Alligator mississippiensis: one gene and its partner. The protein of the gene in region 1 interacts with the protein of each later gene in a pairwise test. Links are inferred from orthologs where the notes say so. Each region holds a gene or a part of one and is shown on either strand. Other genes may lie near its edges.

What was found.
Region 2: the proteins of USP25 (region 1) and SYK interact in binary tests that used the Homo sapiens proteins (3 or more experiments, as listed by UniProt). The link is inferred for Alligator mississippiensis from reciprocal best matches to the Homo sapiens genes USP25 and SYK.

Annotation. Positions count from the first base shown.
Region 1 is NC_081824.1:279,359,464-279,374,372, reverse strand, and holds the start of USP25 (ubiquitin carboxyl-terminal hydrolase 25), read right to left. Parts: upstream 6,778-14,909; 5' UTR 6,603-6,777; coding exon 6,558-6,602; intron 1-6,557. UniProt on the Homo sapiens protein: Deubiquitinating enzyme that hydrolyzes ubiquitin moieties conjugated to substrates and thus, functions in various biological processes including inflammation and immune response.
Region 2 is NC_081826.1:212,109,489-212,124,979, reverse strand, and holds the start of SYK (tyrosine-protein kinase SYK), read right to left. Parts: upstream 8,096-15,491; 5' UTR 7,932-8,095; intron 3,613-7,931; 5' UTR 3,565-3,612; intron 1-3,564. UniProt on the Homo sapiens protein: Non-receptor tyrosine kinase which mediates signal transduction downstream of a variety of transmembrane receptors including classical immunoreceptors like the B-cell receptor (BCR).

The DNA of each region.
Region 1 (14,909 bases):
ATTTCCTACTTCCTTGGCAAATTCCCTAACCACCAGGTTACTGGTTAACCTCCTCATTAATCTTGATTCTCCTCCAAACTAAAAATTCAGGACTTGCCATATTTATTCCCATAACACATGCACCTTTCCCCCCCAAAAAATTAACCTACCAAAATTAGAGTTGGTGTTTAAGTGAGGAATCTGATTTCCATGCTAGAACAGAAGTATGGGGATGCCCGCAGGAATGGCAGGTTTATGCTGGACTCTGTGCTTCACAGAGACACTCCTCACCTTCTCACTGCCGCACCAGAACTTCAGGTTTAAACCTGTTACAGTCGCTGCCAAACTAGCAGTTACTTTTGGCTGAGCTACCAATTTGGCAGTGGCTGTGATACAGCTAAACCTGAAGCTCCTGTGCTGCATCTAGAGGGTGAGTGACCGGAGCATTAAACTATGGTAAACCCATCATTCAGCCACAGAGATCACATGCTGGGACACTTAAAATTTTTGGAAAAATCTATTTTTCACTTTCTGGCTTCCCAAAATAAGGAGCTCATCTTATTTAAGAACATGCAATATGTAGAATATAGTATACACTTTCCAAAATGGATTAGGATTGCAACAGAGGTCTTAGTGGAGCGCTTCTGTCTGCATGCAATGGTATAAAATGAAAACAAGTAAAGAAACTGCACATCCTTTCAGTGGCAAGGATCATTGGCAGTTAGAATCATATTTAGTTTCAAGTGACTAAAAGCTGTTATTGACATTTCAACATTTTTAAGGTAGATTAGGATCTGGCCTCAAGTGTGCAAAACAGGACATGCCAAATTGTCCTCCCACACAAATCTGCAGGTCATGTTTTATGATGTAAGATATTTAGGGATATAATCCAGGGAACTATTTTGTTTATTTACAATATACCTCTTTAACATTTAAATATCAAGTTGTTCTTTTTTTTTTTACTGACATATAAATATTTTTCATCATAGCCATAAAAATGGACTTAGCCCAGAGATGCTGATTTTGTTTAAAAAAAAAAAAAAAAAGGAAAATGGAGACAACTCATTTCAGAACATGAAGATTTTAAAAAACGTATAAATTAGATGCCTTTTATAATCACATATTTTGAAGTGGAGTTGATCTTTTGAGAATTGATCCAAATGCCATTCAAAGAAGCACTTCAAAACAGGGACTGATATTTTTTTAAGCGTTTGTATGGTGTGACAGAGCCCAGTACTCTGATTGTAACTCCTGGATGTTACTACAAAACAAACATGGCATACTTTTCCATAAACTCCAACAAGATTTAGTTTGGACTTTAAAAAAAACATTTCATTGTAATTTCATACCGTGGTTCACTAATTTTATTAATGTAAATTCCATTTCCACAAAGGTAGAAGACTGATAAAATAATATCATTATCATCATAATTCAGAATCATTTGGTCAGCTAGTAAATGAAGCTTTTATATTAACCAAATTTTTAAATAAAACTGACATCTGCTTGATTATGTAGTATTTATTAAATATTCAGGTTAGCCTGAATAGAAGCAGTAGTTACATATAACATGGATTTATATACCCCATTCTCAATTATAAGAATAATTTGAACCCCGTCTCAAAAGCTGGCACTCCTTCAAACATGCCTTTGCAGTGAACCTGGCAAAAACATATATAGGCACAGTACTAAGAGCTCTAAATCACATGCACAATTGCTACCGTTTCAGTGACTGTCAAACTTCATCACAAAAACTTAAGAAGTTCAATTGGGCTCTTTCATACACTACCCACATTACAAAGACATAACTTCCAGGGCCATCTTCTTTCCACTTTGTGACAAAGACCACTGCCTTTCCCTTTATTCATAACACTCTTCTGGCCAATATGATTGTTTAGATAGAAAACTAAAAAAGAGAGTTACTTAACATATACACATTACATATTACTGCAATTTAGCAGCTGGCAACAAGGAGAGGAAGCCACGTGAGGAGTCAAATGACCAACAATCCACAAATTAAATATATGGAAGGGGCATTTAGGGAAAACGTACATTTCAGCTTGTGGCCTTTCCCTTCAACATCTTCCAAAGGAAAATCCAATCAAACAAACAAAAACCCCAAACCCACACAAGTAGTCTTTATCATAGCAAAAAAGCAATATATCATCTATGTAATCAATGCTGGGTGCCCTTAATAGAGGAAATAAGAATTTGTAAGACTGTGCCCTGTATTTTCGGAAGAAGAGCTGAGTTGAACCGAGTTTCCACTTCCAACTTTATCCCACTGCGATGAATGTCTTGTATTCAAAAGCTTGTCTAACTCTACTACAGTTGATAAAATAATAGATATCACCCAAAAAAATCCCTGCCTCTCACAACTGTAGTACAGACAGAACAAAGGCTTTTTAACCCTACACATCAAACTTCATCCAGCCTTTCTCCAATTCACATACAAAGTAGGGTAATCAACTCGAAATCTTTATGGTAGGCTGGTCTAGGGCCAGAGTGAAATGGATTGGTGATTTAAAGTAATTTCTTCTTGGACAGGTGTTCAGAGATCACTATCACGATTAGGAATAGCTTGCATATCAGTGGAGTTAAATGATACAATGGGTAAGGCACATATGACCCGTGTACACCGCTGCTGCTGGTAATCACCATCAGCATTTGAGTATCGTGTGCATTTCAATTTTCCTACTAGAGGCAAGGTTTAAAGGACATTAACCTTGAGACAAGCTAGGGGCTCTCCACATGGAGAGTGACAGACTACAACTGTGCCCCTATGAAAAGAAAACATGAAGACAAGCTTGCCAAATTAAACAGCCCCATGGCAGCAATTCAGGACCATGTGGAGTACACAGCCAAGCAATAAATATTCCTTAAATGTTCAACAAGAAGCCTGATCAAAAACATTTTAATGAAAGAAAAAAAGTGGATGACAAAGCCACAAAGGAGCCAAAAGTATATAGAATCAAATATTAGAATCACAGGGCAAGAAAAGATTTCAATTTTTATTCCAATGACTATATTGGAACATAGGCATCACAGATCACACCCCCCCCCCTAAAATTATTGAATAACGTCACAGAATCACATGTGAAAAAGTGGATGCAGCAAAAAGACTGACAGCACAATCCAAGTTTCATTCAGGGAAGAAAATCCAAATTTAGAAGTAAATCAACTCAAAATGATCTGTAAGCATGAGGAAAGTAAAAATTGAACTTTGCACAGATACAGATTTTGGTGATTAAGCAAGGAGGACATTATTAGTCTGAGAAAACAAGTAACTAAATAAGTCCCATCTCCCCCTACATTTAGAGCACTGTACCAAAATAAACCTGGGTTCAAGTACTACAAAAATCCAAAATGCTCTCCGAGTAACAGAAAACAAGACCTCCTGATGAATCAGATACCAAGTACCACAGTTGTAAGAGTATTCTGCTGACTAATAGTCATCTCTTGGAAACTCAATACATTTTTATCATACATGTGGTTTCTTCACACTAACGACGAACAGCCACAACATACTTTGGAAATGTGCCCGAAATACAAAAACCAAGAAACACCATACTCCTAAACAAGCAAAATACAAATCATCTTTAACTCCAGTTCTACAAAAACAACAGAAACATTTTTTAAACTTTCATCTCAGACAAGGCATTAATCCAATTTATTCTTTTACATCATTTCCTAATGTATTTTCCAAAATATCTCTTGGCTTATTTTCAGTTGTCACTCTGTCAATTCTTCATTGCACTTACTGAGTCTAGAAGCTGTCATTTCTTTTAACAGTCAAAATTTGCAAGGTGTATTCTAGATTGTTTTTTCACAGACATTTTGAAAAGAAAGTAGGTTGCAGAAAGTATGGTATAATGAGAGGGAGGGGCTGATGTTACAGACGGCCACAACTGAAAAGAGGAAAAAAGTAATTTTAGGGTAAGATTCTTTTAATCACTTTTGGCTTGAGGACAATGTGTTTATTTATTTATTTATATATATGATCATTTGTTTTTTTAATCCCATTGCCCAAATCCCATTTCCCCTGCTGAAGTTAATATTTTTTTCTCAGATGATACAATGCAAAAAAGGTACAAACTCTTCAAAGCCAGGGAATGTCATTTTTTTCGTTGTGTGTTTGTTCCCTAGCTTGCAAAAATGGACTATTAGATGCTTCAGTACAGCAGTTCATCCTCCTCCTCCAAGAAGAGATTTCAGATGTAGATTTTTCGCCAATTCATTTAGTTTTTGCAGTCTAGGACACAAGATGAAATTTAAGAACTAATCTCTTGCCCGCAGCCCAAGTTTAACTTCCAAAGAGAAACAAAAAAAGCAATCTTGGAACACTGATCAGCAAATACAATCATTTAGCTGACAGCCATAATATTTTATTATTTGTTAGACAACTGATGGAAATATAATAAATTCAGCCCAACCAGCAAATATTACAAATGCCTGTACACTATTACAAGTACCTGTAATCAGGCCTCCAATACAAGAATGAAGAGGGCTGTTTAAGAGCACCTCATTAAAAACAATATTTGTAACTGAATTTACTGCTCACAAACCATGTCAGATTTGCAGTAGTCAGTCCGTAAGCTGCCACCCTACCCTCCCTTTAGCCATTTGCAGCAGTAGAAACTAAAACTCCCTGCTCTTTCACAGACAAGGTACAACACAGAAGCTGCCAGCAAAAGTTCACAACAATAGCCTATTAGCACATCTCACTTTAAATCAGTATTGACCAGCACAAGTACCAGAAGACAAATTTAGCTAGTGTCTATGCAGCCTTAGCCTCGCCCCTGGAAATGCCTACCAAAGTGCAACAACAATTTTTAGAGGTAGACACCTTCCTCTCTCTAGAAACTTGTCTAAAATAGGATGTTGTACCACTTTAAAGATAATGGCACAGTTAAGGTAGGTTCAAGAGCCCTCAGTATGGGCACACTTACGCTAGCATAGCCGTCTTCATGTAATAAGGTACATAGCTACGTTATCTTTGCTACCCAACAGGAGCTGTATGTCTGTCACCAACTCATTTCATGTTAGTGAAGTAACAGCAAGAGAATAGCAGTTTTCGACAGTTACTGCCCCAAGTGTGAAATCAATCACAGAGCTAAATGGTTCTATACTGTTTCCAGTTGCTCAAGTCCAATTTTAATGCTGCCTGGGGAAAAAATCCCTAAGTACACAACTTTCCATTTCAGCCAGATCAATTCATAGGTACTCTTCTGTAAGTATCACCTCCTCCGAATAACTTCTGCTTCTCAATACCTACCTAAATTAGGCCTGACAGGAACTGCAAAGAGTTGAGTTTGTTTCTTTTATTTCACAGTTGTAGGCGTGTTGGTCCGAGGACACAGGCAGGCACAGGCCTTTCTTTTGTTTTATATTTCGGTGGCCTCTTTCCTCCTATGAATTGTTTATGTAGTCCCTTTCCACTCACAAGAAAACCAGGTGCTTCATAAGGTACTGGTATGAGCTTCCACCCCTATGTACGTAAGTGTTATTGTAGCGGTTTGTTTTCACACTGGCTACTTGCCCCCTTGAGTTAGTTGGGCTTTCTGACGAGTGTCAGGACCACGCCCTGCCTATATACACCACCACCAAAATGCAACTACCTCCAAATCAAAAGGCAGCAGCCAGACTTTGCTTTCCAGCCGTGTGTCCCATTTAAGGTGCGAGAGAGACTGACCCGTCAGTGATGCCAGCCACCGCACAGGCAACTGCTGTCTCACCAGGCCATGGAGGGCTTCCCCTCACAACCAACACAGCTGGCCAGCCAGCAGGGCTTCATTCTAGCTCCATTTCCACGGAGGGTGTGGGGGACACAGAAGTCACTGCTGTGACAGCGAGGCTCAGCGGGCCTGACACCTGGGGCCTCAGTCACTGCTGAAGCAAGACCTGTTTACATTCACCAGTTGTCCTGCCTCAGCCCAGCTTGAGGGCCTTGATACCCATGTCCAACAGCTCTGCAGCAAGGGGCATGAGCTTGCACACATGCACACGTATGCATACACACACCCTCTCCAGGAATGCCAGTGCCCTCCCCCCACCCTGCCACCATCACAACATCCGGAGGCTTCTCCTTTAGGAAAAAGGAAACAGGTTTCTTCTTCAGGAAAAGGAAACAAGAAGCTGCTTGTAGGGACCTGGACTGGGGGGTGGAGGAGTGTTTACAGTAGGTGAATGGCTACAACCTGCCCCTCCCTACACACATGCACACACGCACACAGAGACAGGCAGACACGTGTGCGCACACAGACACACGGAGACATGTGCACGCTGACAGACACACATGGAGACAGAAACATGCAGACACCCCCCCCCCCCCCACACACACACACACACACGCACACGCAGAGGTGCACACACGCACAGCCCCCCCATGCGCAGAAGTGGACACGCACAGAGGTACACACGCACACAGACGTGCAGAGACGCACACAGGCACAGGCATGCACGCACGTGCAGTCCCGCACACGCAGAGCCGCAGAGCGGCGGGAAGGAGCCGCGATGCCCCCGCCCCGCCCCGGCCCAGCCCGTGCCCGCCCGCCCGCCCGCCGCCAGGCCGCGCGCGGTACCTTGGCGCCGCCGCTCTGCTGCAGCACGTTCTGCTCCACCGTCATGGCCCCGGCGTGCTGGGGCCCGCGGCCGCGGCGGCGGCTCGCAGCAGAGCTGGGCTGGGCTGGGCGGGGAGGGGCAGGCGCTGCTGGGGCGGGCCCGGGGCGCTGGCAGGCCCGGCTGCTACCGCCGCCGCCGCCGCTTGCCTCGGCGCGGCCCGGGCCCAGGAATGCGCCGTCGGCTCCGCCCCGCGCCCCAGCAGCGCCGCCGCCGCCGGGCCCGCCTGGGCTGGGCAGGGCTGGGCCGGGCCTGGCCGCTCCTCCGCCCCGTGCCAAGCTCGGGCCTCCCCTTCCTCCGTGCGCAGCCGCGCCTCGCCGCCCGGGCCTGCACGCCCCCTGCGCTTCCCACAACATCAAAAGCCGGGCCTGGCTAGGCGCCAGCTTGCTCAGGTGCACGATCATGCTCCAGTTGCGTGGTCATTTCCACCCTGGTGCGATGAGGAATAGTAACAGTGTTTCTAATGTGCGCCCCACCCTCCACTTTTCTCCTGCCGCGGGAAGTTTCCTTCCGACCTGGGAGAAATGTTAGCATTTTTGCGTGGCGACAATCTAGGACTCCTGGTTCGGAAAGGATACCTTGTATCAGACCAGCTGAGGAGCCGGTCCCTTAACAGGGATCCTCTCCCAACCAAGAGTTCTATATGTTTGCATTTCCTCGGGTCTCAGAGCAACACCGCGACCAAATGCATCCCTGAAACAATCTTTGCATTCGCCTTTGCCTGGGGAACAGGGATCCTGGTTCTCTCTGATTAAAAAAAATAAAATAAAAAAATCCCCAATTTAAAATCTAGTTAGTCTAATAAAAGGTATCGCCTCTACCGTGAGTCCCGATTGCCTTTGGAGCAAAAAACGTAACCCAGAATCCACGTTTGCATGGTCAAAATGAAACGTCACTAATATCTTTGTAATACATAATAGTGTTCTGCTATGACATACATAATACATACTAGTGTTCTGCTACGACGACAGTGTTCCGCTCAATCAATGTGATATAAAAATTATATCACATTGATAGAGCAGAACACTGCCGCCCCAAAAAACCTATGGATGGAGCAGGCAGAACTCACTCTTTCACAACACTATTATGTATTACAAAGGTATTAGTGACGTTTCATTTTGACCATGCAAACATGGAGATACATAGAGAGAGAGAGATAAAATGGTGTTTTATTTTGGTCACAGAAAAATGTGGATTTTTGCATTCCTTTTTTTAATCCAAAAATTGGGGATTTTTTTAATCGGAGAAAACCACAATCCCAGGAAAATGGGGAATTTGGGTTACTCTATTTAATTCAGAAATTGGGGATTTTTTTTAATCAGAGAAAACCAGGATCTCTAAGGTTCCTTCCAGCTCCTAACAACTACGAAAGTATAAAACCATGAAAGGCACATAAGCCCTAAAGCTTGCAAATAAAGACATTTTTTCCAATTATCTAGTTGGTCTAATAAGAAATATCACCTCTACTGCAAGAGTTCTGAGTGCTTTTGCCTTTAGACCAATACGGCTACAACCTATATCCCCAAAATGTACAATGGTTTTTGAGGTAGCTAATTAATCCAGCATATACAACACCCAAGTCACCCTGATGGAGTCTTAACTGAAATTATTATTATTATTGTTGTTGTTATTATTAATTCTTGTTACTATTATGAATAATAGTAATAATAATATATTTTGTGTTCTAGGTCAAATCAGCCAAATCAGTTCCAAATCATATTGACTGAGCAGAACTCAAGTCATTCCAAAAGCCCTATGGATTGAGCTGGCAGACCTCAGTCATTCTAAACACTATACATGGTGCTACAACTGGTGAGCATCCTTCGTCCCAGAATCTCACCCTGGGACTTCAGATACTCCCAAATCTATTGGCAGGTATCCTACGTGCCAACCCAAGCCCGGGTTCACATGCCGCCATGATTGATCAGAGCCAAATTGCCAGCACTTTCTTATGACTGCTTGCCTCGAAAATAAAGAAATACTTCAACTTTGATGACCCAGTTCTTACTCACTCACTGAAGAGTTATAGAGAGCAATATAAAATAAATAAGAATAAGACTTGTTTGTATGTTTATTTGCTTATTTTTTCTGTGTACAACATGCTTTTCAGCAAATACAATAATTTTGAGCTTCCAATCATATTAAGACTTGATGACCCTGCTGGGAACTGTGGGATGAGCTCCCACGAGTCCTGGAACAGCAAGGCTCCTGCTGGGAATGGCTGGTACCATGGGCAACTGCTACCACCTTAGTCGGGTGGTGGGCCACATGCCCCCCAGCGACCAGCCAGTGACTGGGGGGCATCCCCCTGCAGCCAATCTCACCAATGCGGGGGATCCCCCCACCAATCACAAGGCTGACACTCACAGGGGTGCCCCCTCCCTTGCCCGTTGCCTAAGGGGTGAGTGTGGCCAGTCAGGGGGTGCACCAGCACTCTCAGCGGGTGCATATGCACCCCCTACGCATCGCCACTGGCTGGTACACAGCAAGCTCTGGGCCCTGTGGGCTGCAAGGGGATGGTTTGGGTGGGGGTGAACCTGTCTCAGGCAGGGGGATGGACTAGATGACCTGTGCAGGTCCCTTCCAGTCCCACTTCTCTGCAAGTCCATGACTGATAGAAGCATGACATGTTGGCTGCCCTGCTTTTCTTGTGGCAGGTTATGAAGTGGTTAGGTCTGAGCTTTGTCAAGGTAGTCTCATGTAACATTTAAGTGATGGATTTGTATAAGAGGGTTTGCACAGGGATGATTCCTGCCTCAGGCAGCCCCAGGGACCTCCTCTCTTCCTGGCTCTGGCCAAGCTGGCCATCTACAAGACCAGAAGGGAAGCTCTGACCAGGAGGAAGCCAGGACAGTGTGGGGTTGCTTTCCTGGCATTCCTGTGCTCCCGTCTCTGGACAGAGTTTCACTGGTCGGCGTCCACAGTCTCCCTCAACTCTTTCAGAGGGCAGTGGGTGCTGACTAATGTGCTCTGTTCAGTGCTCACTTACAATGCCCTAGTTCTTAACCTATAACCTCACTCCTGTTCCTGTTTTCTTTATTGTTGTCCCAAGCAATTAGTTGCTAGGTCCCCAGGGGCCTCTCTTCTTAAGAGGGGTGTGGAAGGATCAGCTGTGCCATCCTGAAGTTGAGCTGTAGTCTCTCATGTCAGACCGGATATCCTCCTTGAACTCGTCTGCCACAACTTTGATGGAAAAAGGAAGGATCTAAAAATAGACACAGTCCTATGAGACAATATGAATGTTAACTCTGTGACTCAGGAGGTTGGCTCCTCTTCCCAGGGCTCCACCATCCCCATACCTTGCCCTCTCCACACCAGATGTTATGCATTTACTCATCAGTTCTCGTCTATGGGGGCTTCAACTCACAGGTTATCTTGATCAGACTCCTGGAGTCTCATGCCTCACTCCTGGTCACTTGCCCCACTCTTCCCCACACGAGTCCCAAGCCAGTTTCGCTGCAGTTCACTCCAGCCCTTATCCTTCAGGGCCGTGCCACCTGGGGACACCGTCCCTGACTCACACCAACACACGTCTCTGTCTCATCTCTTTTCCAGGTCCCTAGAATGGCTGCCCACACCCACCGGTATCTGACTCACTGGCTGGGACACTGCAGCTGCCTTGTCATCTTGTCTCTGCAGGTAAGTAAATTGCCAAGACTCCTTCCTGACCCCAGGGTCGATCGCTCACTGGCGGCATCTCCCCACGTTCCTTCAGGGTCCTCTTTGTGCCCTCCTCTTCTGGATCGATGCTGACTGCCTTGTCCGTGTCCCTTAAATTTCCTGCGCTGATCAGCTGGGTCTGCTGTGGCAGCACCCGATTCACTGCTTCCCCATCTCTCTCAGCGGATCTGGCTAATTACCCTCCTGTTCTCCTTTGTGGCGTTTCTCCCGCCCAGGTTTGCTGCACCTCTTCTCCCCACCAGGGCTCGTCCTGGTAAGTTTCTCTTTTCTCATCTGGGATTTTGGCACAGGGTGGGTTTACTGCTCTGTCACAGGGAGATTATATATTTCATGTTGGGCTGAGGCCCATGACATCAGCACACATCAAGTAGGCCTGGTTCTGGCCAGGCTGGCCATCTACAAGACAAGGATGAAGGCTGTAGCCTGGGGGACCCCAGGAAGGTGTACAGCTGTCTTCCTGTCACTCCTCTGCTCACATCTCTGGGCATCCACAGGCTCCCTTGACACATTCAAGGGGCAGTGGGCACTGCCTGGTGTACTCTGCTTGGTGTCTTCCCTTGGCACTCTTATTATGAACCTTTGACCTCCACTCCTCTCCCTGTTTTCATTATTACTTGTCCCAAGTAACCTGTAACACATCATTAGTGGCCCTTAGTACAAAAGGGGGCTTACAGTTTCCTTGAAGGGCACCTGGGCCCATATTTCCCCTGACATATTAAAAGTCCTGTCACTCCTCCACTCAGGTCTCTGGGCAGAGTTTCACTAGCCAGCATCCACAGGCTCCCCCGACTCATTTAGGGGGCAGTGGGTGCTGGCTGGTGTACTCTGCTCAGTGTCCACTTCTGGATCCCTTGTCATTAACCTGTGGTCTCACTCCCATTCCTGTTTTCTTATTATTTGTCCCAAGTATTCAGTTGATGGGCCCCTGGTGACCTCCCTTATTAAAGAAGGCTTATAGCTTTCCATAATGGGCAAAGCCCATGACCTTGTGGCACTTCAAATAGGCCTGTTGCTCCTCCACTCATGTCTCTGGGCAGGGTTTCACTTGTCAGTGTCCACTGACTCCCTCGACTCATCCAGCAGGTAGCAGGCTCTGGCAAGTGCACTCTGCTCATTGTTTCCTGCTTTACCTCTGGCAGGTTAGGGGGTTAGGTCTGTGTTGGGTCAGGGTTGACTATAGTCTTATGGAGCATTTAGATGATGGATTTGTACCAGATGGTTTGGATAGGGATGATCCTGCCTCAGGAAGGCCATTGGACTAGATGACCTCTAGACATCCCTTCCAGCCTGACTTCTCTACGCTTCTATGAAACACTCACTGAAACAGAGAAAGTTGTGATGTGGACCACTACTACTGGCCACCATGAAGCTAAGCAGCTGTAGCCATTTCACCTGCTAAGGGCTCCCAGCCAGCCCCTGCACCCAGGCCTGTCTGCCCTGGGGTGTGGCTATGAGAGGATCCAGGATTTTGAGAAAGGGGGTGGGAGTAGATGGTGAGCTACACCATTGTATATAACATATATGGTTTTCTCCAGTAAAATAGAGACTAGAAGCTTTACAACTATGCCAGGGGCCCAGGGCTATGTGACTTAGTTAAAAACTGAAAGAAAAACAAATAAAACTTAATTGAAAGGAGTTAAAACGGTGAAATAGGAGCTTCCTGATGAGGAGCAGATGCTCTTAGTGGCCCCCATCACCAATGGTAGCTTATAGCTCTACCTGGTGGGCTTTGCCCTAGATCACAGAATGACATATCAAAAGCCCTGACCAGGAGCAGCTAACAGGTGGCAGAATAGCCAGATAAAGGGTGGCTTGACTGATGGAACATCAAGACCATTAAAAAGAAGAGTTGATCCTTAACACCTGTGAAATAAAGAGTTTCGAAGGGATCAGGTAGATGATAATGACTCTTGACGTCAATTGACTTCCTCAGCATTGACTTACTAGAATTGCTACTGTCACTGCCAGGCACTTTGTTTTAAAATTTGGGTGGAACAGGAATCAAAGCGGGGTTCAAGTGCACCAGTGCCCCCCCCCCCCCACCTCCTGATCCACCCCTGGTTGTGGCACTTGCGTTTCCCACAGACCCCAGCCCCAAGGAGCCCAGGAAAGAATTGAAGCTGGGTTCCCTCAAAAAGTACAGGGTCATCAAACCGGGGGCATTCTGAGCAAAATATTTTGGATTAAAAAAACAGAGAGTTTCCCATGAAACTTTGCATAGCTGAAAACTTTCTAACAAGCTCTAGTGCTATCAGCCTTTGTTGACAGCAAGCCTTAAAAAAAAAATCAGTGCTGTCACTGCCATTCCTCTTCATTCCTGTGAAGTGTTAAACTATATACTCAGTTTACCCACTGATGATACTCAGGGGGTATCTGAGTTAAACATCACTGTTATAAATTGTTCCCTGCCAATAAACCATGTAAACAAGGAAAGGAAGGATCACATATTCAAATGAATGTCATTTTGTTTTGATACTCTATCTGATGGCATTTAGGTACTTTTTTGCCCAAACTGCCCTATGAAGCCAAGAAACCAAAAGGAAAAAATGGATTCTGAGGGAATAAGTTTCACTAAGTGAAAATCAGTCCTACAGAAGCCAGTGAGGCATTCAGTTCCCCGCCTACCTAATCTGCCCCTCCTGAAACGCAGGGCAGGAGTGGGCAGAATTTGCTGTGATGTTGGATATTGGACTAGGCTGGCTGTAATTTCAGTTGCTCCTCCCTCTGCCAGGGTCTGTTTGTAGACTCAGGCAGATCTCGCTGCATCAGTTACACTTGGGTCATGTTTCAAATTTTCCTTGCAATGAGGAGTAGGGCTAGAAACATATTTTTTTTTTAAATGAAACCTGAGATTCTCACATCATAATAGGACCCTGGGTTTTGAGGTCCTAACACATACATATTTTGTGGTGTGTCATGCACCAAAAAGGAAACAAACCCAAGGAGCTCAGCAAAACCCCTGTAATTATATTTTGAATACATACAGAGTAGACTACAACAGTTCCCCATTTTAGTATCATGAACAGCTTGGCTTGCAAGCAGAGTTTGTAAGAGTAATACGGTGTTGCTAACCCCACATATTTTTAAAAAAATTATGATTTGGGGGGTCAAATGTATTCAATTTTAAAACAATGAACTGGGGGGTTCTTTTGGTTTGCCTTGTGGTTTCTGAAGCTTTGGGGTTCACACTTACATCTGAGACTGTAACCAGGAAGGCAAGAAACTAATTTATTGAAAATAAGAGCTGAGATTTTCATTTAATGACATGACTCCAAGTCCCAGGCTTTTAAGAAAAACATTGAATATTGCGGAACTCATTGGTTGGCTAGAATGGCCTCACAACTTTTCAGCTTCACTTCAAACCCTACGCTGCTGCTTATTTTTGACTCAAGTTATCACTCCTCTTCCTGCTCATCACTTACCCCCAACTCCATGCCTACATACATTACTTCTGAGGTGATCTGTTTACAGTTTCTTTGAGTGTATAGAGTTGGAGGAGGTTCTAGGCGAGAGTCTCGCAATGAAGCAAGGGGAGGTAGCTCTGCAAAAAATACTGTTTTCTTTAATTTAACAGAGCTTGCTATTCTATGTTTGAAGGAAGTGGTTGTTCATGATTCTTCACCACTGTCATATGGTACAGAATGTTTCTGAGGGCAGGGGCTCTCTTTTTATGTCTGCCCAATGCCAACAAAATAATGAATCACAGCAATAGTGAAAATACAAGTTCTCCTCACATCACTGAGCCACCATAAACCCATTTATTTTCTTCATCATCTGGTTGTTTCACTGTAATATTTTTGCTTGTTTATTTTGTTGCCTTGTTTTGTACCAGCTTTTGTGGGGGTGGTTTTGAAATCTGTCCAAAATTTGGTCTTCTAAGGTTTGCTGATCAGAGATAAGTTAATGGCCCTCAATTTTTTTCCCCCTCATACCGAAGTGATTTTTTAAATTACTGTTAACAAAGAATCCACTGTACAATCGACAACAGACACTATACAAATCATAAAATAAATAAGGTTATCAAGGACTTGGAGATTCTTTTTCTAGGTTTTAGAACAGTAATTCAATCTACTTGTTCAATCAACTGGTGGCTACACAAGATGCTGACAACAGTAGTATTTTGTTTTAGAAAAGTTTATTTTATATTGTTGTGCCCCACTGACTAGACTGACCTCTTTATCCCTCAGTTCAGTATATAACTTTACATCATTCAATGCATTTAATTATAGTGGCATGCTCAGGTAACATTTTTTGTTGCAGCTTTAACCCATTCTATATTTTTGCAATATTCAAGTTAATAAATTTTTGTATCAAAATGATCCAAAAATACCTGTATACTGCTTTGATGAAAAAATAGTATAATGAATACTGAACGCCATATATTATATATATAGCTATATAATTTAATGTTGTTTTCAAACATCTACATTTCTGACCTGAAATACTTCCTTCAAGTGCAGTTCTTCTCCTACTCAAGCATTCCTAAGAAAGTAGAAATGGACCCAAAAAATAAAATATTTTAAATACATTTTATTTTTTGTCCAATTTTAGCCTCAGAACAGGACAGGCTAACCTAATTTCATACTTCGTAAAATAATTTTAAAAGCATCACTTCCGGAAGTGAACATGCTACT
Region 2 (15,491 bases), on another chromosome or scaffold:
GTGGCACTAAAGAAGAGGACGAGATTTTCCTTCAACAGTGGGCCTGTTCTTGACTTGGCTTTGTTAGCTATCCAGGACACCTAACTGAAAGGCAGGTTGTGAGATGAAACATTACTAATGTGCATTAGCATAAGATCATCAGTATCCTAAACTAACAGAGTGAACACACTTAGTACTTGTCCCCTCCAAGTACCATCCGTCATCCAAAGAAGAAATATTTCAGCTACTATCTGACAGAATGTTTTACCTTGCCATCCAAAGCAGTCTCATAAACAGAGGGACTCATAACATCACTGATTGACAGCCTGGATTAAACACATTATGCACCGCTCAAATCAAATTTACAGATCTAAGTTTTGAAGATGCTACGAAAGAGGCAAATAACCCCTATCCCTTTCCCCCACACATAAGAAAACCTATTTGCAGCAGCAAGACCAGTGAAAACACTCCTGGCAAGGCCCATTAATCATCCTGGGCAGAAAGAGGATGCACCTGGTTTCACAGTATTCTGGGCCAATGGGCAATATTTCCCTAGCTTTTGCACTGATGCTGCAGTAAGAAGCAGCCAGGCTGAGAAAATAGTTCATTTTCAAAAAATATTCTCTTACACTGTGCTGCCTTTTGAGCAATACCAAATACTGTATTGCAAAATGATCTGAAAATGACTATTTAGTGTCAAATACACTAGCCATGGAACAATAGCTAGTACTGGCATGCCTTTGGGGCGCATTCTGTCCTACCTACTGGATATGGACCAGAGTATTATGGCTAGTCTGCACCTGTTACATGACCATATCCCTATGATTCTTTGTCATCTTTCCAGAGCTGAATTGTGAAATTCTCCAACATCTATCTGCTCTTTTTCACTCATCCTTTAATCAATACTCTTATTGAGTATGTTATGGATACATAACATCCATTTGCACCATGTATGGACTAGTCATTTGTTCTTTTTCTCTTCTGGGGTGAGGATGGTTTTGGGTTTTCTTGCTACCAGGCCATTGTGAGATGCTGATTCCACAGTTGCAGCTTGCCAGAAAAAGCTGTAACTGAAACTTGTTTCTAATGTAATGATGACCTATCCCTTTTTACCTTTGGTTGGACATAGGTTCCTTTTACTGCACATAGAAGAATCTAGTGCATAGTAAGGGGAAACTCGTGCTCTTCATTTAGATGCATACTGGGATGATTAAAACCCTTACTACTCGTTCTGTCCATCCCCACTCGAGAAATCCAGTGTTCTAAGGCTGCCTCAGATCAGGGACTAGATCATTTAAAAGGTATGTCACAGTTTGGATGAAGTGACATATACCCCAGAAGTTACATTCTCTTGGTCTAATAGGTAGATAACTCAATTATCTGACTTGCAAATATAACCCCTCACTTAAACATGCTATTATTTGCTTTACAGACCTCCTTGCAAAATGTACCCCATTAGATTCATGCATGTCTAGTTTGACATACAGTTAAATATTTTCCAAATTTGTAAACTAAACAAATGCTGTAATAGTGTTCATATTAACTCTAAAATGTGTCATAGTTCAACTAATAGGCCTTAGAGGTGGGAAATTAAATTCAAAATTCACACCATCTTGTAAAAATCATTCTTTGAACTAAGAGTATTAAACTGGCTCAACTCAAAATGACAATAACACCAAACCAAATTTTCAAAAGTGGGAGCACTTACTGCATCCTTAAGTTTATGTCTAATGGTAGGGTTGGAGTGGTATTGTAAGAATTATGCCAGAAGCAAGATCTTCTCTCTCAGACTTGAGGACGGGCACTCTGTGCCTAAAAGCTTATCCAACATCTCTCCCAACTATACAATTGGTCCAACAAAACACATTACTTAACTGGTGAGTGGAAATCACACTACTATATTTTATCTTCTAAACATAACTCCCACAACAGATTTTCAGTTTAAATTTGGCGTGACTACATACTCGTACAGTATTGAAAAAATAGCCATTTTAGGCTTTTATTTGCAATTCACCAGTTTAAATTAAGAGCAACACTATCAAAGTCAACTCTAGAGTCATCCTCTTTCTCTGACATACTTTTAAATTCAGAGTAATTCCATTAAGTCAATAAAGCCACTTGATATTTGAAATAATACAACTAAAAGCGAAATTTGACTCCTAGTAATCAACAGTATAGCTATTACACTAAATACCTTAAAGTCTGATTCTTCTCTCACTTTCACCAGTTTAAACTGAAAGCAACCGCACTGCCTTCTACATAGCTAACTGTGGGAAGACTAGAGATATTTCATCTCACTTATTTGATCAACTTAACAGTTAAACAAGGAGTGTTAAAAAGTATAGTCATCTAGGCAGTGGTTCTCTGCTTTTTTAGACTCAAGGCACCCCACAGAAAATGCCAGCTCTTACCTTTTGGATTACAGAAAAATAACGGAACCGTTCTTCCATTTCAAAGAACTCAGAAAGACCATAGTTTCATAGTAGCTAGGGTCAGGAGGGACCTGAACAGATCATCTAGCCTGACCCCCTGCCACAGGCAGGAATGAATGCTGGGTTCGCAAGACCCTAGACAGGTGATCATCCAACCTCCTCTTGAATTTGTCCAAGGTAGGGGAGAGGACCACTTCCCTGGGAAGTTGGTTCCAGATTTTGGCCACCCTAACTGTAAAAATATTGCCTTCTGATCTCTAACCACAACACATCAGAATGTTTTTGAGACTATGGTTTCCTATTTAAAATCTCTGGATTTGTCTTGTAAATCATGTATAGGTGCCTGTACACCTAACAGTGCTTAATAATGAGCGGCACTGCACAGGAGCCTTAAAAGGATCTCATGGCACACAAGGGTGCCACAGCACCTGGTTGAGAATTACATGCAGTAATACTGCCTCCTTAATACTTTTCTTGCAGATCTGGCTATCATCTAACTCACTACATCTTACTACCTTGATGACCTCTTAAGTTCTTATTTCCATCCTCATGTTCTATGCTACTGTTATATAAAAATCTGTGGTTTCTTCCGCTATAACCAGAAGAGCCATCTGACAGACAGTAGCTGGAAAAAACAAAGTAATCTTAATAAAATGTCTCCATCTAAACAGCACTGGCTTTCTAATTTGAGTCTGCAGGAGTAAAGAAACTAAAGCTGAAACGTCAATTTTATATTCAATTAACTTTATAGATACACTTCATGGCACTCAAGTAAATTATTGCTACTGTTATTTTTAGTGCTCACAAAGATGTTTCCTATCATTCTGCTGAAGAGAAGAGGTGAAATGGATTTGTATGTGGACCCATAGGAAGGCAATTTTCCTTGAGAACTTTCCTGGAAGCCCTACATCTATCCAATGCCTTCTTATCCCCAACTAGAGCTGACTGTACCCTTGAAAAGCAGACACTCCCCACAAAGAGAATTAGACTGGTTATCTGTGCAATCACAAACTCAAGAATTCCATTCTTAAACCCCTTAGTATATAGCCCCTCACAGCTTTGCACACAGAGTACAAGAGCTGTGGACTGCTCACATGGTTTCCCTGCATCTTGCCCTTGTTATTCTGCACGCAGGACATTCAGTCTACGTTACCTTGTGCTGGGGAGGTCTAATCCCAGTGTACATGGGCATGATGAAGCGCTATTTAAATAAAAAAAAAAGGAAGTTTCAACAAATTAATGCATTCTAATCGGCACTGGCCATAAATGAAGTGATAATAAAACTATGCTAGAGCAAAGTTGTTCTTTGAAATAGTGGAATACTCGTGGAGTGGTGTAACTATATGCCAAATACGACCATTTGCCCATTGTACAAGACACAATAACTACTGTAGACTGAGCACATCTTTAGAGTCCAAAAGTATCTGCATTATATTTAAGAGTCTAAAATTTACCCTTCCTCCACAAACATATGTGCATTAACAACTAAGTTCGCAGTTCAATATGAGTATCTGTACAGGAAGTTATGACTTATTTTTAACTTTGGACCATGAACATTGAAGAGACCTTGCAGACTTTATATTGTACATTTATTAACAATGTGTTTCAAACGGGAACCTCACTTGCTTTGTGCAATATACACACACACACACACACACACACACACACACACACTTTCAACTTAATTTGCAGAATACATGTTCAATTGTATAATTTATATGAACATGCAATATGTATTTAATTGTATTAATATAGGACATAATGCGAATATGAATAATAATTATACATGATTACATTATAGTTGTTTTTTACAACAACATTTGGATAGATCTATTCAGGCCACCAATGCCTAATGATTTTTTTTGGTCACTGCCAGAGACTAGATTTAGTTTCTACCAGGGGTAAAACTTCAGTTTTAAAAATTGGATGGTCCAAGAGAAGCCATGATGTGTATATTTTTCTTTTCATAGTTTTTTTGGTTAATTTTGTAGTGTCACATGTAAAGCAAATTAACCTTGCTGTTGGGGCTTAAAATACAGATGGGAAACACAGAAGTGAACTATCATTTTTCAATGACAATATACTTTTGCAAGTCTGAACGTATAATGCTAACAAAAGTAGTGTAACTATCTAGTGTGTGCCTCTGGTGTTCTACTATGCATGCAGGGCATAAGGAAAAAGGGACCAATTCTGCAAGGTAATAAGTAATCTTTACTCTTAGCAGTAGTCACTGAGACTTTTCAAATTCAACTTAAATACTGGAAGACAAGTGGGTATTCTGTATAAATTCAGGCTGAGAAACTGAAAAGGAGGTTCTCAATAGTTTAGAAGAATGCATAACTGCAGGCAAATTTTTGTTGTAAAATTTGTTTCCCTTTAATAAAATCATATTTTTTCAAGAGCCAGATTTTGATGTGTGAGAACTCCCACATGAATTGTCCCACTGATTTAAAAAGGGCTACTAACATAAATAGGGGATTGTAGAATCTGGCCTAAATTGAATAAAGACCCAGTAAATCTTGACCTGATAAGAAAGGCATTTAAGACTCAAACTTGAGAAGTGTGGCTGCTTTGGCCCCAAAGTTGCACAGCATTTTAGTGCATAAAGGGTTTCAGTAAAATCCTTCACCATAAAGAGCTGTTCTTTGCCATGTTTCATTAGAGGAGAGAAAAGAAATGGGTCTAAATTTCCATTACTGTTTATTTATATACAAAGGGCCAAAGCTGTCAATTATTGTGGCTTGAATAAGTGAAAGGCAAGGGAGAATTTGAGCTAGACAGTCCACCTGTCCTTTGCAAACCAAATCCTCATGAAATCAATGTTAGTCTTTCCAATGTCTTCAGATTTTGAATCAGGACTTTAAAGCAAATGAAGACAAATGAAATAAAAGTATAACATTTTAGAACATAAATGAAATCCAGTATGTTCCTCCCTGCTGATTGCTTCATACCTCTGCAAAGGTCCTAGTCTCAGTACAGGATATTGTGCGAGTGTTAGGAAAGAAAAGGAAATGTAATCTCCCCTTTAAAAATGAAGAGCATGATCCCTTTGACTTCAACGACAGTTTGGCCACAGACTTTGAAAGCTTGGACCACTTATATAGCAAATCGAAAGAAAAAAAGATGGGATTAAAAACTGTCCATGTAACTCTCGTGTTATTCAATTTACACGTTTAAACTTTTTTCAAGTGAAACTTTACATACCAGTCTTAAAAAAAAAAGTTATTTTGGGACCAGAGTAACTTTTTAAAAACACCTGCTAGCTGTTCCCCAAAATAACTTTCAGTTGGTTTTTCAAGACATTAGATCAAATTTTTAATTCAGCTACATCAACAGAACCACAACGGCTAGAAAATAGAAAGGTAACAGAGAATATCTATTTACCTCTTTGATTTCATGGACATTACTACTATTTTAGGAAAAACAAAGCCTGAAAGGTTTATGAAGTACAATTTGGGATTTTAGAAGTTCTTCCAACTCAGTTCAAAACTGCGGTAGATATTTATTTTAATTAGTTCAGCAATTTTGATAAACCTAAACTGGTTTTAAATCTTTTATTCCAAGTTGTTTTAAATATTCATAAGGCTTCTCTCCAAGCCACTCCCCTCTCCCCCCCGAAGAAAACCGTCAAAATATAAATATACTGATGTCTCAAACTTCCTTATTTCTGTCTTTATCGGTCTCAAGCTCAACAAAGGGCTGAGAAGGAGAAGTTGTTACAGTTCCTGTAAAAGTACCCGCTAAAAGTGCTTTTGGGCTGCAACAGTTTCTGGCCCTTTATTTCAGAGCTTGAGCTGACTATGGGGTCTGCTCTAATGGCCACATCACAAAATCAGGCCCCAAAGGTCCAGAACATACAAGTGTTCTGTGTATGGCTTGTGGGAGAATGCCCAAAATAAAGATTACTAACCCCAATTACAAATGATCATGTAAATGGCTCCTTGAATGAGGGGAAAAATATAATCTTACAAGTGGTAGTTTTTTTCTTTAAAAAAAAATCTACCTATAAGTAGCCTAATTAAGGAATATGACATTGGGCTTGATCTTATTCCCAGTGGAGTCAGTACAAGCTGTGTCTAAGAAGCACTGCTAGGCTGGGCCCAAAAGATGATGTCACCATGCTCAAGTGTCCTGAAATAACATTGCAGGGGTTCGGGTTGTAGCCTTGTTGGTCTAAGGACATAGGCAGACAAGGTTCCTTGGGTGAATTTGATATCTTTTATTAGACCGACCCAAATGGTTGGAGAATAGTTATTAAGCAAGCTTTCGGGTTCAAAAACCCTTCGTCAGGCTAAGGAAGCTGCAGCAGTTGGTGTGTGCTCTTCCTGGTGTCACTCCTTGTTTGATGTCAGCATAAGGCTCTCTATCAAAGGTGTTACCAAAATTTGTTTATATATATATATATATATATATATATATATGTATGTATAGTGATTTAGGCCTCTTGTATCTAATGTGTTTCGTCACCTCTAACACTATTCTAGTCTTTCTTGGAAAAAAATTAAGGAAGTTTGCTAAAAAAAAAGAAAGAAAAAGAAACAAAATGTAACTAATGACCTTTTGTTAGGCTTCAAGGGAGCTAACCGGCACATTGCAATCACCCCTCACCCCTGCAAGCTCTGAACCTTGTTTTGTTTGCAGAGAGGACAGATGCACTCATTTGCTTCCATGCTCATTTCATTGCCCAGAGTTTCAAAACAGCTTTTTAAAGTGTTTTGTTTTCAAACCCATGGGTGCATTTTCTGTTTTTGCGTGTGCCTTCCTAACCTGCATCTCCTTCTCCATGGACTTCATCTCATGTGGTTTTGGCCTGTTCGCTTGTCCCAATGTCACTACTGCGTTCGCTGAATCACCGTACGGTTTTGATTTGGTCGAAGGATCCCTGTGGATTCTCTCCCTATTATTTTCCCAACATTTTTTCCCCTCAAATGTTACCTGAAAAATAATGGGGTGCAAGGCTTGTTGAGAGGGTAGGAAGCCTGAAGCTGGGCAGAAGGCAGACTTGGAGGGTAGGTGACTTGGAGGTGTATCTGTGGCGGAGGGTCAGAATTGGCGGCATCATGGAGGGACTTTGGCAAGTTTGGTGGGCGACAGGCACTGAAATGGTGCCTCCGAAGGGCGCTGAACCCTCTGAGAGGCTTGGGGGAGGGAGAAAGAGAGAGCGGCTGCAATGTTGCCATTGGGGGTCCCTGGTGTGTGGCCAGAGCATGAAAAAAAAATTGTTTTTGCAGCTCTCTAGTTAGTCTAATAAAACATATCACCTCTTTCTCAAGAGTTTTAGATGCCTTTCCCTCTAGACAAGCGACGCACACCTCAGGACATGGGGAGGGCTGGGCAGAGTCCCCTCAAGGAGCCCTGGGCGGGGCGGGGAGCGGCACGAATGAACCGGCCCGGCTGTCTGGAGGAGCCCAGGTCTCCCCCGAGCCGCCGGCATGGGTTTGGGTGCAGCGGGGAGCCCGCCCGGCCCTCCACAATGCTCTGGGGGTTGGCGCTCCCTGCTTCCCCCTGCCCCGCTCTTACCTGGGCGCGGGGCGCGGGAGTGTCCGACGCGGGCTCGGCTGAGGCGGGCGCGGGGCTCGGCGAGGATCCTGCCGCTGCGTCCCGACCCCGCGCTCAGGGCGCCGGGAGCCGCGGCTTCCTAGTTTCGCAGCCGCGGCCACTTCCTCCAGGCGGGCGGCGGCTCGCACACTTCCTCCTGGGCACGGTCCGGCCAGGCCCCGGCCTGCGGAAGGGCGCGGGGCTGCGGCGCCGGGGGTGGCGGCACCCCGGGGTGCTGCCTGCGTCCTGGGCGCGCCGGGAGAAGCGTGCCAGGGACTCGCGCACGGACCTGTGCGCACACAGACGCACACATATGCACAATAACATACCCATATACACACAAACACATGCACATACATACACACAAACACGCACATTGGACACACACATACTTACACACATGCGTACACATACATACACGCATGTACACATACAACCACACACATGCGTACACAGAAACGCATACATACACACATCTACATACACAAACACACATGCATACACAAACACATACAGACACATATACACACGCATGCACATACATACACACATGCATATACATACACACATCTACATATACACTCACACACCGCACATATACACACAGACATACAGGCAGTCCTCGACTTGCAATGTTTCGAGTTACCACGTTTTGCACTGACAACATTTATAAATTGACACCCTGTTTCAATTTTCTGATGTCAGTTTTGACTTTACAATGCTTGATCCAACTCGATGCCACATCAGTGAACCAGTTTGCTGCGTCATCCATCTCCCTGGAGAACATCTGTCCAAACTTCCTTGGACACTTTCTTTAGGAAAGCAGACAAGACTCCAGAAAAACCTGCAGCCAAGACTCCTGAGAAGACTCCAGCCAAGAACCCTTCAAAAAGTCCAGCAAAGTCACCTCAAAGAAGTCCTTCCAAATCAATCTGATTGCTATTTACAATATAAATACATTAATGTAGCTATATCACTCATCTATAATTGATCAAGTACAAAATTTTGGGGTATTTTTAGTGAAAACAGAGTATCAGGCCTTGGCTGAGGAACGAATCCCTGTTTATAATGTTTCCTTTGGGAAAAACGGTTCCGAGTTACAACATTTCGACTTAGGATGCAGTTTTCAGGAACCAATTATGTCGTAAGTCTGAGGACTGCCTGTACACATACATACACACATACACACACAAACATAAATACCCACAGACACATGTACACACACATAAATGCACACACAGACATACATACACACACAGAGACATATACACATAAGCATACACACAGAGGCATACATCCACAAGGACAGCCCAGCCTGAAGAAAGAGAGCATTGGGAACCTGAAAACCATGGGGAGGCCAGCACTACGGCACAGGTAAGAAACGAGAAGGTAAGAATCAAAGGGCCCCTTGGGACTCGGAGCGGGGGGGCAGCAAAGGCACCAGTCGCAGGGCTCAAGTGCCTATATACTAATGCTAGGAGCATGGGAAACAAGCAGGATGAATTAGTGCTCCTGCTTGCACTAAACACCTTGACTTAGTAGGGCTAACAGAAACCTGGTGGGATTCATCCCATGACTGGGCGGTACATATTGAGGGCTATAGATTGTACAGAAAGGACAGGGTGGGGAAGAAAGGGGGAGGGGTTGTGCTCTATGTCAATGAGCAATATACATCGACCCTCATCAAGACAGAATCCGAGGTTGAGGAAGTAGAAGGATTGTGGGTTAGGCTACATGGGGGGCAAGGAGAAAGAGATTTGGTGGTAGGGGTCTGCTACAGACCCCCACATCAAGGGGAAGAAAGAGATTCAGGGCTCCTGAGGCAAATCTCGGAGACCATAAAAGCTAAAGAGGCAGTAGTCATGGGGGACCTAAACTACCCTGACATCTGCTGGGAGTCACAGACAGCAAAGTCCCACCGCTCACGCAGGTTTCTAACCTGTGTATAGGACCTCCACCTGACTCAGGAGGTACATGGTCCCACTAGGGGGAATGCCATACTGGATCTGGTATTGGCAACGGGAGATGACATGATAGCGGACCTCCAGATCGGTAGCCATCTGGGGGACAGTGATCACCTAATAATAGAATTCACCATAAGACGGCGAGTGGGTAAGGTAACTAGTAGGGTGAAAGTGCTAGACTTTAGGAAAGCTGATTTCAATGAACTCAGGCGATTAGTCAAGGACGCACTGCAGAGTAGGAGATTTGAAGAGATGGGAGCCCAAGAAGGGTGGCTGTGCCTTAAGGAAACGATCCTTCGGGCACAAAGCAAGACGATCCCCGAGCGAGGCAAAAGAGGGAAAGGGGCCAGGAGGCTTCCCTGGCTGACCAGAGAAATCCAGGGCAGCCTAAGGGACAAAAGGGGAGCACATAAAAAGTGGAAACAGGGAGAGATCACCAAAGACGAATATACCTCCTCTGCTTGCGCTTGTAGGGAGGCAGTTAGACGGGCCAAAGCTACCATGGAGCTGAGGATGGCATCCCAAGTAAAAGACAACAAGAAATTGTTTTTTAGATATATAGGTAGTAAAAGGAAGGCCCAGGGAGGAATAGGACCCCTGCTAAATGGGCAGAAACAATTGGTGACGGACAGGGGGGACAAAGCTGAACTCCTCAGCGAGTTCTTTGCCTCAGTGTTCCTAAGTGAGGGGCACGACAAGTCTCTCACTGGGGTTGTAGAGAGGCAACAGCAAGGCGCCAGACTTCCATGCGTAGACCCTGAAATGGTACAGAGTCATTTGGAAGAACTGGATGCCTTTAAGTCAGCAGGCCCGGATGAGCTCCATCCAAGGGTGCTGAAGGCACTGGCCGACATCATTGCAGAGCCACTGGCGGGAATATTTGAAAGCTCGTGGCGCACGGGCCAAGTCCCGCAGGACTGGAAAAGGGCCAACGTGGTCCCCATTTTCAAAAAGGGGAGGAAGGAGGACCCGGGCAACTATAGACCTGTCAGTCTCACCTCCATCCTTGGCAAAGTCTTTGAAAAAATTATCAAGGCTCACATTTGTGAGAGCCCGGCAGGACAAATTATGCTGAGGGGAAATCAGCATGGGTTCGTGGCAGGCAGATCATGCCTGACCAATCTAGTTTCTTTTTATGACCAGGTTACGAAACGCCTGGACACAGGAGGAGCGGTGGATGTCGTATACTTAGACTTCAGGAAGGCCTTCGATACGGTATCCCACCCCATACTGGTGAACAAGTTAAGAGGCTGTGACTTGGATGACTACACAGTCGGGTGGGTGGCGAATTGGCTGGAGGGTCGCACCCAGAGAGTCGTGGTGGATGGGTCGGTTTCGACCTGGAAGGGTGTGGGCAGTGGGATCCCGCAGGGCTCGGTCCTTGGACTGATACTCTTTAATGTCTTCATCAGTGACTTGGATGAGGGAGTGAAATGTACTCTGTCCAAGTTTGCAGATGACACAAAGCTATGGGGAGATGTGGGAACAGCTGCAAGCAGATCTGGACAGGTTGGACAAGTGGGCAGAAAACAACAGAATGCAGTTCAACAAGGAGAAATGCAAAGTGCTGCACATAGGGAGGAAGAATGTCCAGCACACCTACAGCCTAGGGAATGACCTCCTGAGTAGCACGGAAGTGGAAAGGGATCTTGGAGTCCTAGTGGACTCCAAGATGAACATGAGTCGGCAGTGTGACAAAGCCATCAGAAAAGCCAATGGCACTTTATCGTGCATCAGCAGATGCATGACGAATAGGTCCAAGGAGGTGATACTTCCCCTCTATCGGGCGCTGGTCAGACCGCAGTTGGAGTACTGCGTGCAATTCTGGGAGCCGCAATTCAAGAGGGATGCGGATAACCTGGAGAGGGTCCAGAGAAGGGCCACTCATATGGTTAAGGGCCTGCAGACCAAGCCCTACGAGGAGAGACTAGAGAAACTGGATCCTTTCAGCCTCCGCAAGAGAAGGTTGAGAGGCGACCTTGTGGCTGCCTGTAAGTTCATCACGGGGGCACAGAAGGGAATTAGTGAGTATTTATTCACCAAGGCACCCCCGGGGGTTACAAGAAATAATGGCCACAAGCTAGCAGAGAGCAGATTTAGATTGCACATTAGGAAGAACTTCTTCACAGTTAGAGTGGGCAGGGAGGAATGGGCTCCCAAGGGAGGTGGTGCTCTCCCCTACCCTGGGGGTCTTCAAGAGGAGGTTAGATGAGCATCTAGCTGAGGTCATCTAGACCCAACACTCTTTCCTGCTTATGCAGGGGGTCGGACTCGATGATCTATTGAGGTCCCTTCCGACCCTAACATCTATGAATCTATGAATCTATGAATCCACACAAACACACATACAAATGTAAACGTGCACACAAAATACAGACGAGGTTCTATGGGTAAATCCAATATCTTTTATTAGACCAACTAAAATGGTTGGAAAAAAATCTTCTTTGCAAGCTTTCATGTACAAACACCCTTCCATCAGGCTGAGGAAACTACCCTTAGACCAACACGGCTATAACCCATACCCCTGAAGCACACAAAATACACACACAGACACACATACATATACACAAACATACACACACACATATGCAAACATAAACACACACAGACATGTACACATACGCAGAAAAACACACACAGACAGATACATAAACACATAAACATACACACACAGACTCACGCAGAACAGATGGATCCAGGATTTAGAAAAGGGTGGGTGGTGCAGATGATGTGGCACGTCATCCCAAAGAGCACAACACACATTTTTCTCCGGTTAAAGAGAAATGCAAAGCTTTACCGACATGCTAGGCTAGTGCTTAGTTATTCAGTTTAAGATCAAAGCAAAAATTAAAATAAAGATAAGTATTGGAACGTGCACTGAATTGCTAGATTATATTTAAAGTTGAATAAATACAGAAAGCATACAAGGCAAAACATAGTCAAAATAGAGTGGCATTAGTCCTGCAGCCATTACACTTAAGTGTACATCTCTCACTTAGATTCATAAAACAAATGCTAGCTTTCTTGAAAGTCTTGACTGTGCCTTCAATACTTCAGCCAGGCGTGTCTACCCTGAAGTTAATATTGCCACCTGAGTTAAAATTTTTAGGCAGAGTTAACAACAGTCTGCAGGACTATGAAACAGAAGAGAGACATTCCCAGGGATGGCTAACAGACATGCAAACTGCAGAAGGGTAGATTGAATGGTGGAACATCAAGACCACTAAAAAGCATAGAGGAGGAAGAACCCGGGAGATGATAAGGAGCCATGATGTCAACTGATTCACTTAGCACTGTTTGAAAAAAAAGTTTCCATAACAGAGGGTCTAACACTCAATATGAGAAGTGCTCTTACACAACAAAAAGTTCGGTTTTAGGGTCATAGGAAAGTAGGACTGGAAAGGAGCTCATGGGGTCATCTAGTCCAGCCCTCTGCTCAAGGCAGGATCACCCCTGACTAAACCATTCCAGCCACGTGTCTATCTAACCCCTGCTTTTGAAAGTTTCCAAGTATGGAGAATCCACAACTTCACTTAGGCTGCCTATTCCAAAGCCTGACCACTCATAGAAAGTTCCTCCTAATATCCAGTTTAAACTTGCCCTGATGCAGCTTGAGGCCGTTGCTCCTAGTGCTGTCCCCTACAGCCACAGAGAAAAGCCCACCTCTATCCTCTGTATAGTCACCCTTCCAGTATTTGAAGATTCTTATCAACTTCCCCCTCAAGTGCTCTTTTTCTGAGCTAAATAACCCTAGTACTTTAACCCTTTTCTCATAAATTTTGCATCCCAGGCTCCTAATAATTTTTGTTGCCCGCACTGGACTCTTTCCAAACTGTTCACATCTTTCTTGAAGGTGCAGCCCCAAGCTGGACACTGTACTCCACGTGAGGCCTCACCAGTGCTGAATACAGTGGAACAATCACTTCCCTTGATTTGCAAGCAACACTCCTCTTAATACAACCCAGGATGCAAATTGCCATTTTTGAATATGAGCACACTTAGCTCATATTCAGATTACGGTCCACCATAACCTCCAGGTCCTTCTTTGCAGTACTGTAACCAAGCCAGTCATTCCTCAGCCTGTAGTTGTGCATGTGGTTATTTTGGAGCCATGTAGTGACTCAGGATGTGATGGCTAATACATTTCAACATGATATATTGTGAAAATATATATATTCATGCAGCCTTATTGTCTGTGTCATAGAAACATTAAGAAACTCAAGTCAGGGACTTGATTGTGCTAGGCACTGCAAACACAGAATACAGAGCTGGCTGTTGTCCCAAAGACTATACAATTGTTATCACCATTTTACATATGGGGATCTGAGATAGAGATTAAATTACCCACACGAATTGGAAGCTCCTAGGGAATTTGAAAGGTTTTTAGCCCAGCCTTTAATCTTTTCTTGCCTACTGAAGTTGCACCAAGATACTCACTGACTGAAAACTCTTGCCTTTCAGCAGATGGAACAAGATCTTATTTTCTATGGGACACTAATTATTTCCTTTTTTTAAAATCACAAATTGGGAGAATAATCTCACAAATAGAGCCCTAAAAGTTCTAAATGTCACTATTTCCTAACTATACTGAAAAGGATTTTTATTTAAGCAGGTTCTCTTTCAGATCTCAGTCCAGTCCTTTTCACTGATGTTGCGATCTTCTGACAATTTCTATATTGTAGGTCTATTTCAATTGGCGTTGCCTACACTGTGAAAAAAAAAAGCTAAGAAATCAATTTTGGGTGACTTGTTCCCTCTTTCACCTCCCCCTGTGAATAGAGCATGTGATCAGAATGCCCTCTGAAAACCATTACCAAGACCTAGCTCTGTATTGAATGTTTATATTTTTAACAGATGTCTCGCTGAAATCAATGAAAAATCAGTACTGTATCATGGACTATGCATGAGCAATGTAAGAGAAATCAAGTAAAGGAATCATCAAGTTCATGTTAGTATTTACAGGTCTGATTTTAAAATATTTATGATTAGCCTTTCACATAAAATTAAATGCAACTGTGATGTGTTCCTCAAACTCAAATATGCTAAGTTTTTTGGGTAGCAGGGGCAGGAAGGAAGTCTTCAAATTTGCTAACTAGCAGTCTTCCTACTATGTATAATTGTACTCTATGCAATGGGGGCAAGTCTTAGCACATTCAAATCTTTTTGAAGATTTTTATGGGGAGAATGTAGCTAGCAAAATCAGAAGCAGTATGAGTCATGCTCCTGGAAGGATTTGGTAGCTTTTTAAATTCTGCAACCTTTAAGGTAATCAAATGTGAAGATGCAAAGAGGAAGCCAGTATTTTGCCAACAGCCTATGACTGAACATGCCAGATAAAATAACACTAATCACCCTTGTGTTTCTTATTACATTTTATCTGCACTTGAGGAAGTTTCAAAATCACTGGTGCTTGCAATCTGATCCAGTAAGGCCCTAGCACTCAGCAGTCCAGCTACAGCACTATGCCATGCATCTGTATTACAGCCTTCCTGGAAAGGTTCCTGGTTTGAAGGCACTTCACAGTATTCTTGCTAAGTGTTCACTCCATCTTTAACCATAAAGATCATGTGAGCATATT